3 linked regions of the Tribolium castaneum genome follow. The protein of the gene in region 3 binds, or shares a complex with, the protein of the main gene of each other region. Links are inferred from orthologs where the notes say so. Each region holds a gene or a part of one and is shown on either strand. Other genes may lie near its edges.

Evidence for each region. The genes of interacting proteins can lie anywhere in the genome.
Region 1: the proteins of rictor (region 3) and Sin1 are in contact, whole or in part, in a cryo-EM structure (PDB 7PE7), measured with the Homo sapiens proteins. The link is inferred for Tribolium castaneum from reciprocal best matches to the Homo sapiens genes RICTOR and MAPKAP1. Residues at the interface, in NP_689969.2 of Homo sapiens: Arg108, Gln137, Glu140, Thr144, Leu147, Arg148, Arg151, Lys152, Thr155, Arg182, Met183, Arg185, Ala186, Ala189, Cys192, Glu193, Leu196, Leu220, Arg222, Ile223, Glu225, Ala226, Leu227, Thr229, Thr230, His233, Asn236, Arg293, Trp295, Glu844; in NP_001006618.1 of Homo sapiens: Ala2, Phe3, Leu4, Asp5, Asn6, Pro7, Ile9, Ile10, Leu11, Ala12, His13, Ile14, Arg15, Gln16, Ser17, His18, Thr20, Ser21, Asp22, Asp23, Thr24, Met26, Cys27, Met29, Val30, Leu31, Ile32, Asp35, Val36, Ser84.
Region 2: the proteins of rictor (region 3) and mTor are in contact, whole or in part, in a cryo-EM structure (PDB 6ZWM), measured with the Homo sapiens proteins. The link is inferred for Tribolium castaneum from reciprocal best matches to the Homo sapiens genes RICTOR and MTOR. Residues at the interface, in NP_689969.2 of Homo sapiens: Leu204, Arg205, Gly206, Asn209, Arg245, Asp247, Val248, Glu249, Glu251, Arg252, Leu254, Thr258, Asp259, Phe260, His261, Tyr262, Arg263, His264, Ser265, Pro266, Asn306, Gly308, Ser311, Gly314, Val315, Cys317, Ile318, Pro319, Glu345, Ile347; in NP_001373429.1 of Homo sapiens: Arg1028, Asp1032, Lys1068, Leu1069, Asp1108, Asp1109, Tyr1110, Asp1150, Lys1187, Asn1196, Val1200, Gln1207, Asp1210, Val1211, Cys1214, Arg1215, Lys1218, Gly1219, Tyr1220, Thr1221, Leu1222, Ala1223, Glu1226, Glu1227, Asp1228, Leu1230, Ile1231, His1234, Arg1235, Arg1238.

The regions. Positions count from the first base shown.
Region 1 is NC_087397.1:9,927,726-9,931,508, reverse strand, and holds Sin1 (target of rapamycin complex 2 subunit MAPKAP1), read left to right. Parts: upstream 1-1,477; 5' UTR 1,478-1,547; coding exon 1,548-1,638; intron 1,639-1,682; coding exon 1,683-2,226; intron 2,227-2,386; coding exon 2,387-2,625; intron 2,626-2,672; coding exon 2,673-3,005; intron 3,006-3,055; coding exon 3,056-3,240; 3' UTR 3,241-3,283; downstream 3,284-3,783. Other genes in the region: crb (protein crumbs), read right to left, coding at 1,091-1,139; Pdzd8 (PDZ domain-containing protein 8), read left to right, coding at 3,525-3,686, 3,734-3,783. UniProt on the Homo sapiens protein: Component of the mechanistic target of rapamycin complex 2 (mTORC2), which transduces signals from growth factors to pathways involved in proliferation, cytoskeletal organization, lipogenesis and anabolic output.
Region 2 is NC_087399.1:3,302,849-3,307,014, reverse strand, and holds the start of mTor (serine/threonine-protein kinase mTOR), read right to left. Parts: upstream 2,801-4,166; 5' UTR 2,660-2,800; coding exon 2,437-2,659; intron 2,391-2,436; coding exon 2,173-2,390; intron 2,127-2,172; coding exon 1,912-2,126; intron 1,773-1,911; coding exon 251-1,772; intron 1-250. Other genes in the region: RpL37A (large ribosomal subunit protein eL43), read left to right, coding at 3,020-3,022, 3,255-3,383, 3,488-3,634; smo (smoothened), read right to left, coding at 3,978-4,166. UniProt on the Homo sapiens protein: Serine/threonine protein kinase which is a central regulator of cellular metabolism, growth and survival in response to hormones, growth factors, nutrients, energy and stress signals.
Region 3 is NC_087395.1:23,064,381-23,067,880, reverse strand, and holds part of rictor (rapamycin-insensitive companion of mTOR), read right to left. Parts: coding exon 3,260-3,500; intron 1,508-3,259; coding exon 816-1,507; intron 770-815; coding exon 657-769; intron 610-656; coding exon 106-609; intron 1-105. UniProt on the Homo sapiens protein: Component of the mechanistic target of rapamycin complex 2 (mTORC2), which transduces signals from growth factors to pathways involved in proliferation, cytoskeletal organization, lipogenesis and anabolic output.

The DNA of each region.
Region 1 (3,783 bases), on a different chromosome or scaffold from region 3:
ATACAAAATTACATTTTTTTCATCCGTGAAAAATATGCTCAAACTAAATCACAGCACGAACATGTGGGACATGTAATGGGGCTAAAAAATCATTTAATGATGTAATGCGGTAATCGCTGGGTTTAAGCCGTTAGTGCGGTTAAATTAGTTGGCCATGACTACGGATATCTAAAGGTTAGGATAAATAAAGCGTTCCCGTCCTCTCTACAAATTTCTTCCTCACATTTTTCTTGTATCTTCAACTGTATTCAAACCGCAAATTTAAAATTTTAATTTTTTTTCTTATGTTTCTTATAAAAATTTTAATAGTTAGTTTTTCTGTCTGTTAAGAGTGCAAAGCTTAACGTTCCTGATGTTTTCCAAGTAATTAGTGAATTGGTTGGATTTAAATTAATTTAAAACGATTTGGTACTGAGACGATATAACGCTCGAAACGCCCTCATTTTTACAATGTTGTACTATTTTTTCGGGTCCAGAAAATCTCGTTTCGTCTCCTAGCTTATAGTTCACCGTAGCCATGACGACTAAACCGACTTGATTGAATTTTGCCCTATATTTATTTGCCTAGTCTGTAAAAAGTACGATTTCATTACTTCATCATTATATGAGAATTGTTTATAATTCAAAAAATTCATAATTAGGCACAGGTGGAACACCTGTCTGGACACCTGTTGAATTTTGTTCCAAACCTACCAAGCCTAATTTTGGGGTTGTTTGTTGTATGGAACCAACAAAATTTATGAAAAAAATGTGTGATTTATTTATTTGTCAATAAACTGCATACAGAAAAATTAGGTAATGATCAATCACAGTTGACTTTGAGTTGTCATGGCAAGCTGGGTCATAAAACTCTCCCCATGTCCTTGCCATAATTTCTCTCAAAAATAAACTTTTCGTCCGAGTTAATCATTTTTCTGAGAAACGGAGGCCTAAATCGGTGTGACTCACCTCATCTTCTCACATTGCAGAAACAGTTATTGTTCCAAAACCTTTCTAATTTTTGTATCAAGGAAATTTAAATAACAAAAGATACAAATCAACTACTTTTATAAAAAGCCAAAACGTGTACGAAACCGGAAGTAGGACTTACCCAAGAAAACAGAAATTGGTCCCAACCTCCAAGAACTCAAGAAACCCATCTTTGAGACAACTGGATTGCGGTTTTTTCGTTACATTCATTAAAATCATATGCACCATGAAGCAACAACGGGGAGGTGTGTTTATGTTGAAAAAAACATAATTTTATTATTTAAAACCAGTAAATAAACACAAAATAAACGACAGGTTCACAAGACAACAACACCCAGCACCCACACAACACTTTTTCTAGTGACAATTTTAGTGATTTTGTTGTGTGTAGACAGTGCTCCCAATATGAACCAAATTTCAAAAATTTAGCAATTGGGGCCAATGATATCGAAAAGTGTTTGATTTTTTGATAAAACGACACGTTTTAAAATATTAAAATATGCTCAAAAAAAGCGTTGTCGCCTATTATCTAACAATAATGAGCGTTATGTCAAGTTCTTACATAACCTAACTTGTCAATGTTTACATCAGACACGATGGCCCTTTACGACAACAAATACTGGTTATTATCACACATACGCAACTCTTTCATTTCTACAGATGATACAGGTTTGGCTAGGTTTCAAAATCACACTCGATTAACAAAGTTTTAGGAATGTGCGAGTTAATAATGACAGGGGAGGAAGGTGTCAGGAAACACCTGAAGCAAAGCCTTGATTCGTACCCTGATGACGAAGACAGTGAAGATGAAGATGATTTGTCTCACGAATCTTACGACCTACAACTTGACACCGATTTCCCGTTACGATACAGATCGAATACTGCCGTAAGATTAGAAAAATTAGAACAGGTTAAAAAGAGAACTGGCAGAATCAAACATATTAAATGGGAAACGAACAAGAACGAGTTGAGTGAGGAACAAATTGATCAGTTATTCGTAAAAAAGGAACCCAAAGTAATAGAACCGAAGCAATCTTTGTTTTCTAAAACCTTCAAGGAGCATAAGATGATGCCCATTAACCCTTATATGGATTATGCCAAGTTTGATGGCAGCGGACAAGTCAATCTTCAAGTGAAGAAGTATAGAATTTTCCTAACAATGCTACCAGAGCACCAGAGGAATTACCCCTTGGCTGTTTGTTGCACCTCTTCTGCTAAAATTCAAGAGTTGATTGGACTTATATTACTCAAATGCAGGTTTGTTAACTTGATCCTGAAGTTAGGTTGGCAATATTCTAAGTTACTGATGACATAGTTGCACGCTATTGGCTAAGCGTTAAAATGTTGCCAACTTGATTTCAAAGTCACAGGCCACTTTGACCAGGAAATGAAATAATTGAAAAACAAAATTTTTAAGTACAATGTATGAAGACTATCCTTGGAAGCCCGTAAACAATTACGGTTTGTACATAACTGAAGAAGACGGAGAAGTGGATAGGGACTTCCCCAACTTGGACCCGAGGGAAAATATTGCCAAATTTGGGTTTGCTTGTTTAGGGCTTGTGGAACATTCAGATCCCTCAAAGTGTGTCAGTTTTGGGAACTCTGAAACTGTTACAATCAGAAAATTCGATTACAATGACAAAAAAGGAAAAGGTTCGCTTTTGCCACATTTTGGTTTAAAATTTAAATTTTTTCTTTAGATTCGTCTAAACAAGACCAGGAAAAACAAATCACCACCGATTTACACTTAATGGACGTTCATAAAAAAGCAATGGAAGCCCCACTGTACAAATCGTTCAAAGTCTACATGATTAATAAAATGCGGGCCAAAGTTGAAATACATTTAGGAATAAGTGGCGAAAAAATCGAAATTGACCCAGTGCAAAAAAACTCGAAATTTGTTCTAGTTAAACAAAAACCCATAAACCACGATATGGACATGATCGCGTGGTGCGAACCCATTGAAACTACCAAAAGCAACAAAATGACTTTCAAAATCATTTACAGCCATTCGTTCGCAAACGCTGAAAATGGTATTTTTTGTAATTATTTAATTTTCTTGATTATTTAATTGTTTTTCTAGTTTCAAGTCCAACTTTACAATCTTCAGCTAGCTTCAAAAGTTACGAATTTGAGGCAGACCAATCAATTGCCGAAGAAATCGTAAATAAAATAAACCTGATTTTGGATTTGAGGTCTAGTGACACACGGAAGGAGTATTTGGCAGCGCAAGAACGGAAATATTATAAGAAAAAAGCGTTGATTTAAGTAACTTGTATACTAAAATATAATAATAAATTCATAAATTATTTTTTTGCGTTATGATTTGGGAACGTACCCTCGTTACATAACCTCAACCGTCACCTGTCAGCTGTGAGTGTCATTACCCTCTTGAGAAAAAAACAGAAAAAGGAAAATCATGTTTGGCTTTTTTTGACGCTTATCATATATGAGATAAGCACAAGGGGGCTATAAAATGGTAAACTGACTCCACTTTGTGTTATTTCGAACAAAACGGGCCTAAAAATGGTGATAATATAATTTAAAGCGCTATGGATATATTTTTGTTCATGTTCCTAGTTTTTATATCTTTTTTAATTGGTATTATAGTGACTCTCGTGGTGCAATATTATATTTTGTATTCTTATTTTAAAACAAGTCCAGTGGTCACACCAAATGAGAAAAAGTGTTCTACTGATTACGTTTTACCAGAGGTATGTATTAAATATTTATGTTTTTGTGTGTATCGAAGCGCTTTTAGTCTTTGAAAAAACAATTGGATAGTGAAGAATTGAACGATGCGACGAGTTT
Region 2 (4,166 bases), on a different chromosome or scaffold from region 3:
AGTCGTTCCCTGTCTTTCCTTCGTAATATAAAATTTTCCTCGGAGCAAAAATGGTGGATGCGCCGGGCAAATTTTACGATCCTTTAAAATTTGAGTTAGAAAATGACGTTTTTAATTCCAATTATTGGAAACAAAAGTCGTTCCCTGTCTTTCCTTCGTAATATAAAATTTTCCTCGGAGCAAAAATGGTGGATGCGCCGGGCAAATTTTACGCTACTTTAAAATTTATCACTTGGTAACCCGTTTTTACCTTCAAAATGGGCTCCATGTAGGGCCTTATCATCCTCGGGGCGCTCACAACCAAATGATCTAACATCCTCGCCCCTTGTTCCTTATTCCTCCCACTGCCCGAATGTTCCAATTCGGATAAAAACTGCACTAAAGTTTTCCTCAACGAGGGCATGACATATGCCGGATTCATCGCACTCAAGCGCCCGATTGTAAACAGTGCAACTTCGCGTATTTCAAACATTTCGTCTTGCAACGCCAGAAACAGCGCACTGAGCGACTCAGCTTGTGCTAAATGATTATCAAACGTACGATCGAGCGAAATCAAGACTCCGTACCGGACATTTGGGTCGGTATCGGTCAAACCAACACTTAACAAACGATGTAAAACAGCAGCTACGGTTTTGGTGACCGTATCCGACGAGTTTTTCGCTGTGGAGTGAATAGCATGTCGGAGGAGCCGACACGTGGTTCTGACAGCCTCCAATCGGATTTCGTTATTGTCATGGATGAGGAAATGATTGGCGCAGCGGTGGACAAAAGGGAGGAGTCTCTGGCCCTCAAAGTCAAACGTTCCGAGTGTTTTGAGGGCCAAAACTATGATTTGCACATCGTTGACTTCTGGTATTGCAAGACTCATTACGGTTCCGGTCAAGTGGCGGGGCATCCCGGGATGAACTAGTGGTTTATTCAGGAGAATATAACTCAGCATTTTTAATAACCCGAGACTGATTCGTTCTTTATGTTCCGGGACTTTTCGGGATAATTCCCGGAAACATATCGTGAGGGATGCGGTTAATCCCGTTGCTAGCATTGGTTCCAGGAGGTTCGGGATGTCCATTTTTGAGTGGTTTTTGAGGGCGTGGGCTAGGAAAGTGACACAGTTGAAAATTGAGGAGTCGATGGGGCTCCGCTTGCGCCCCAAAATATCGGCTCGGGGCAAATACATGCGAATTATTTCCATAATACGTTCAATGTACGGCTCAATGTCGCTCTCGACAGCGATCGCAATTAAGCCAATAGTCACAAAAGCCTTAGCTCTCTCCTTTTCCCGACTCTTCAAAATGTTGAAGATGTGGTTCATGACGGGGCTTAAGTGCTGCTTGACGTAGTTTTCGCGGTCAAAAGCAGCCAATCGGGGTAAAATCGTGAGAAAACTTTGTTGGATGTGGGACGAACGGGAGAGTCTCTGAGCCAGGACGTCTAAACAAATGTAGTCGAATTTCTCGGAAACGAGGCCTCGGCAACTTTGGGATTCTATGATTGCAATTTGAGAGGGTGCCAAAGACACAGCTTGGTATTGGGGGATGCGTCGAGAGACCGAAAAGACGAAGCGAGATTTAGTAAAATTGAAGCTAGTCTCGACTGGTTGTTTGGTGTCGGTGCGTTCGAGCAAACTTTTGCATTTGCGTTCCCATTCGGCATTTGAGCAACGCACCAGTTCGTTGAGAATGAGGAGAAAGCCGTGGACGCGCTCCTCTTTCATGCGTTCGCCTCTTTCCACCGAGAGCATTTTCACGGATTCGTCGTAACACTGTTTGTACCTAAAGAAAAAATCGAGGGTCAAACAACCAAACGATATTTTATTATTAAATTATTAATAAAAAAATTTGCCGGACATATATAGTTGAACATTTAGTTCTGAGAAAGCAAGAAGAGCAATTAACTTAACACTGTGCGTACCATTGTGGCTTTTGGTTCTGTTTGGCCGTTTCTCGTTGCGCTGTGACGACCAAAGCGGCCCTCAAAGCCTCCACAGCGCTCTCCCTAATGGCAGGTTTGGGGTCCTGTATCGCGAAAAAAATCAGATCGAAAAATTGCGACACATGTTGGTAGAAATACGTCGGCATAGTTAATGCCAACTCTTTCAAGACTAAAACGGCAGCTTGTCGCTTCCCCTAGAAGAATTTTACTCAAACTGGGCCAATTTTGAGGAGTTCATACTTCAATCCGGTCGCCACTGAGCCACTCAAAGGCCCTCTTAACTTCAAACTCGACGTATTCGGAGGCTTTTGAGCCTGAGACCAGCGCCAAGCGCCCCATTGTCTTCGCCACCGACTCCATGACGCTCACGTCGCTCGAGGGCAACAAGTTGCGTAAATAATTGGCGAAGCGTGATATACGTGTGGTCATGTTCCCGAAATCGACTCCAATCAAACATACTAGAAGAAGGAATTGAGGAAAGTTTGGGTTTAAATTGTGACTAACCAATCGCCAAAATTCCGCCTTTTTTCTCGTTGGGGTCGTTGCTCGAGACCATTTCGAAGATGTGGTGGTTGAATTCGTCAAGGAAGTTTGTTATTTCGTCGGGGGTGGCTTCGCGAAGCTCGCTTTTTACGTACAAGCTTAATTCTCGTGCGGTTTTTTGACGAACGTCGGGGTTGCGGGATTTCAACCCCGCAACGAATTGTTGCATGGCCAAAGTGGACATGGTGACGGTGCGACGTTAGAAAGGAAGCATTTTCGGGTTTATCAACACTGAAAGATTGTTATCACACTCATGATGGTGCTTCCATTTTTGCCGAATGACTTGGGGGATTTTTCGGCCGGTTTGAATTTCAATGGGGCCTAAATCAAGCACAAAAAGTCTTTTCTTGTGTTTATTACAGTCATGTAAAAACTTGTAATCTTAAATATGTGATAAATCCCTTTACATAATTAAAAAAACGTTAGATTTTTTATAAAAAAAAACTTAGGGAATTCCGTTTTCCGACTAGTTTGGTGAATTCGTGTGTGCTGAGTGTTGCCAACTTCTCTTACATTTGTGAGACTTGTCAAAAGTGTTACAAAAATGGTAAGTTTGCGAAAATCGAGTATTATTTTAATCATCCTAAGATATTTTGTATGCATTTTATTCGAAATGGACACAATGAGTCAATTTCCATTATTGTATAACGATTTTTTGGCCATAGAAGCCACAGTCGGCATTTTTTACTATTGAGGTTACGTATAACCTAGTTTTTGTGTCTTTGGAAAAAATGCTAAAATTGTTAAGTTTTTGTTATGTAACATTGTGTTTTTTGTAGGCCAAGCGTACGAAGAAGGTCGGAATTGTCGGAAAATACGGAACCCGTTATGGGGCCTCCCTCCGTAAAATGGTCAAAAAAATGGAAATTACTCAACACAGCAAGTATTCCTGCAGTTTTTGTGGCAAGGTAAAGATTGCCAACACTCTAGTTGATTTCATTGTTGAAACTTGCATAATTTTTTTTGTTATTCTTTGATTAGTTTTTAGAATGTTTTGAATGACTTCTTTTAGGATGCCATGAAAAGGAGTTGTGTAGGGATTTGGTCCTGCAAAAGGTGCAAACGTGTGGTAGCAGGAGGCGCTTGGGTCTATTCTACCACAGCAGCATCGTCTCTCCGATCAGCCGTTCGTCGTCTCAGAGAAGTTAAGGAACAGTAATTTTTTTAATTAATAAAATACTTAAAAACACGACACACTTGTTTCATAAAATACACCCAAAACCACACAAGTTGAGCGAATTAAAAAAATGCAATATGTTACTACTACTCATAATAGCAATTTACGCAACGTTTGAAAATTTTTTACATTCTCAGGTGCGAGTATTTTTTTAGTTAATAACTCTTTGAAAATAAAAGTATGCACTTCGACATTCGTGGGGAAGGAGCAATGGGCACATTAATAATACGAAAGGCTTATAATTTTTTATTTGGTAAAAGTTATAAAAATCACATTTTTGTACAAATAAATACGAAGCTGCTTTTCGTATAAAATCAGTCGTTCCTCATAACAACTCTCTCAGTTCTGGACTCGACGAGCTGTCACTCTGTCTGTTGAAACTCTCCGAGTCGCTTTGATATTTTTTTGAGGTTTTGGACCTCTTTGACCTCCGACTTTGGTGCGATTCTCGCCCCGACCTCGGCCTCTTCTCTTGCTCCTTCTCACTTTCACTACTACTCAATTCCTCAATGTG
Region 3 (3,500 bases):
GTATAGAATTTTTTTTGACACTTTGATAGTAGTTTAACGGTTCAAAATCCTTCACCAGAGAGCGTAAAAGCGCGAATTAAATCCACATAATAATTAAATACCTACCGCTAGATGTCGTGACAAAAACCTCGTCTTTGGGCCCCTTCCACGAACAAACAAGGCACGTTTCAACATCGTGCCTCCACAGTGTCTCCTCACGCACTTTAAAATCGTGCATTGCATAGACAATCTCGTCGTCAATGATCGGAAATCTCTCCAAAGAGGCATCACGTGCCTCACTGTCCACATCCAGAAACAAATGATTAATGTCATGAGGCAAAGTCACGCCCATGTAACACCGATCCTCGCTTTCGTTCCGATCGTGGACACTAAACCGCTTAATACTTGTCCCAGTGGTATTTAAAAGATTGAAATCTTCGATTAGTGAAACGGGAACATCCCAGCTACTATCACTCCGGATATCGTCCGAGTCGTAGGCGGGTTCTTCCAAATACCTCGGCGATTTTCGTAAGGAACGAAGTGTGGCATAGCCAACCAGATCCTGATGGCTCAGCTTACTGGACCCGCCCCCGCCCAGCGATTGGAGCGAGCGATCCGAGTTAGACCCGCCTGAAAACACGCCCATTAGCCACGCCCAGCATAGCCTATTAAGTTACTTTGAACTGAGACACGCCGTGACGATTCCGAATGACGCCGCACTTTCGCCGATTGTTTTAACGTACTGAGACTACAGGAACTTGGTATAGGACTCAAGATTTGTGGCCGTTCGCTGAAATGCCCAATTAAGAAAAAACAAATGTAAAATAGTGACTTACTAGATCACAGATTTGCCTCCGCCGAAGGAATCGCACGAACTCACCCCGGACGTGGTCGATTCCGTGGTCGAATTGTTCCGAACGCGCCTCACAATCTCGGTACCCAATCGGAAGCTGCCTTTTTTACTGTCCTGAGGCGCTCGGATAATCTCGAAGGTTTTCGACTCGGACAGCGACCTCTTGTGGTAGCCCGCCGCTTGGTTCTGATTGGCCGGCAAAGTCAGGCTTTTCTGGGGGCCTGCCACTGTGGAATCGGGCAACATTGACTCGGACGTATCGTCGTCAGTGCTGCCCTCTACGTCCTTAATTCCCGAGTCGAAGTAATACAAAGTGGGCGTGATATCGGGGAAACTACTCGGAAGTCGTAAACTGTCCTCGTCCTCGTCCCACGCCTCCTCTTCGATGATTGGCCACGCCACGTGTCGGTTATGACGTGTGCTAAACCAACCCAGTTTGAAGAGTTCGTCGGCGCCTTGTCGCGTTGTTGCGATTAGACCGAGGGCGTAATACGAAGTTGCCCGAATCGAGAACACTAAGCACTCTTGTGCCAAGGTTATCAAAGCTGCCAAACAGTTGTGCAAAATTAGGTATCTTAGGCCCTCGCTGGTGCTGCCGAAGTGGCCCAAAGCCCATATTGAGGCTTTCAGTTTCAAAATATCGTCCTCGGTCTCACAAACGCCATTCGTGAGAAACTAGAAATAAAGAATTATCGCAATGTGAGCGCCTTTTAAATCGTAATTTCGAAGTTTTATAAAATATTTATTTGAATTGTGTAGCAATTTTCACGTTAAATAATTTATGCTGGCAGCGACAGTGACAAAATAAATAAAAACTGGAGGTATTTTTTCATTTTATATAAGTGCTGTGTATAAGTGTTTTCTGTTTTGCAAAATGATTTTCGAAGAATTAACTTACACTTTATTAAAATTGGGTAATAATACCAATGTTTCTCAGAAAAAAAACAAGTCAGAGCTGATAATAGTACAGCATACCAAATTACTAAGAACAGTGCTAAAAATTTTGACTTTGTAACACCGTTTTTAGTACAAATCTGGTAAACAATTAATTAAAGAAAAAAACGTAATTAATAAAAATTAAAAAGGGTACAAGAAAAAACCCAGATTAAAGCGCCAACAGGAATCAGACGAATTAAAAAAAACAAAAAAAAAGAATTATAACGATGACGATGAAAAAAATAGTCAACAAACGCGAAATAGAAAATAACAGTAGGTACTTATACAGAGTTTTGAACCAAACGTTTTGTGTCTAAATTAATTATGTACCTTACGAAAAAACTAATTAGTATTATGTATCATTAACTACTTTTAAAATGTAATCATTTTTCAAAAATAATTTTTTCAATTTTTTTTAGTTTTCGAGTTATTAAAAAATTTTTTTTTCAAATATATTTTTATAAATGACTTCTAATTCAATAATTTTGTTTTTAAAACAGTGTTTTTTTAATAAAGTATTAGAATTACGTTCCGAGCTCATTACGACGATTTGTTCAAATTTAGCCGAAGAAGTTGTATTCATGGATATAAATAAAAACATAACAATTTATTAAAAAAAAATACACCGGTTAAAAAATAATACTATTTTCAAGCAATTTTAAAGCACAATCATTTACCAAAAAAATCGCCGTGGTGGAGTATCATTTATTATTTATTATATATATATTTCTTGAACAACTCGAAAACTAAAATGAATTTCGAAAAAAAAAAATTAAAAATGCATAAATTTTGTTTTATGCAAAAAAATCGCCGTGGTGGTGTGTCAATTATTATTTATTATATATATTTTTTGAATAACTCGAATTAGAAGTTGTTTACAATTAAATATGAGCCACAAAGTAAATAAACTTTAGGGGTTCTTTATTTTCATGGGCTAGCAATAATTTTCTGTAGGAATATTTGCACAAAACACCATTTCAGAATATCATTAGCAATAAATAGACACAATATTAATTAATTTCTAGCATTTCAAGTATAAAGGATTGTAAAAAAAATTCTGAAAAAAATCACAGACAGAGAAAAAAAAAGTATTTAACAGCAAACGCTCATTTTTATCTGTGTATTAGTTTTTTAGATGTACCATGGAACAATCTAGTAAAACACACTTTTAGAAGTTTCACCTTGTAAACTTAGCACTTACAGCGTTTCGTTAAACAAATAAACGCTTTTTTATTTCACTATTTTTTAGATTGGTAAATATTATATTGGTAAATTTTATATTAAATAATTTGTTCTGGCAATCACTCACTGACAGAGACTGATAAAAAACATACGACCCATCAAGGATTTTTTTAGTTCCTATTTTGTGTTTTCTATTTTGCAAAATAATGTTCAAAGAATTAATTACAACCCGAAAAAAGGGCAATCAGTCCAGTATAATTTTTTTTGAATTTGTACAATTTTTTGGTACAAAATAAATGGGTGTTTCACCTGAATCATGTTTTCCAGCGACCCGTGCTGCACTAGAATGAGAAAGCCATCAGTGTGCCGCGCCAATTGTCCGTAAAGATGCGGCGGCAAGAAAAAATCCTTCCTATTTGTCGTCCTTATCGTGCTTGTCCTCTTATCGTATTTCCCGTCCTCGTCCCTCTGATGTAAAGTCAAAGCATCGGAGGTTTCACCCTCGACTAGTTTAATGTATCTATAAATGAAATACTCGTCCCATCGTTTA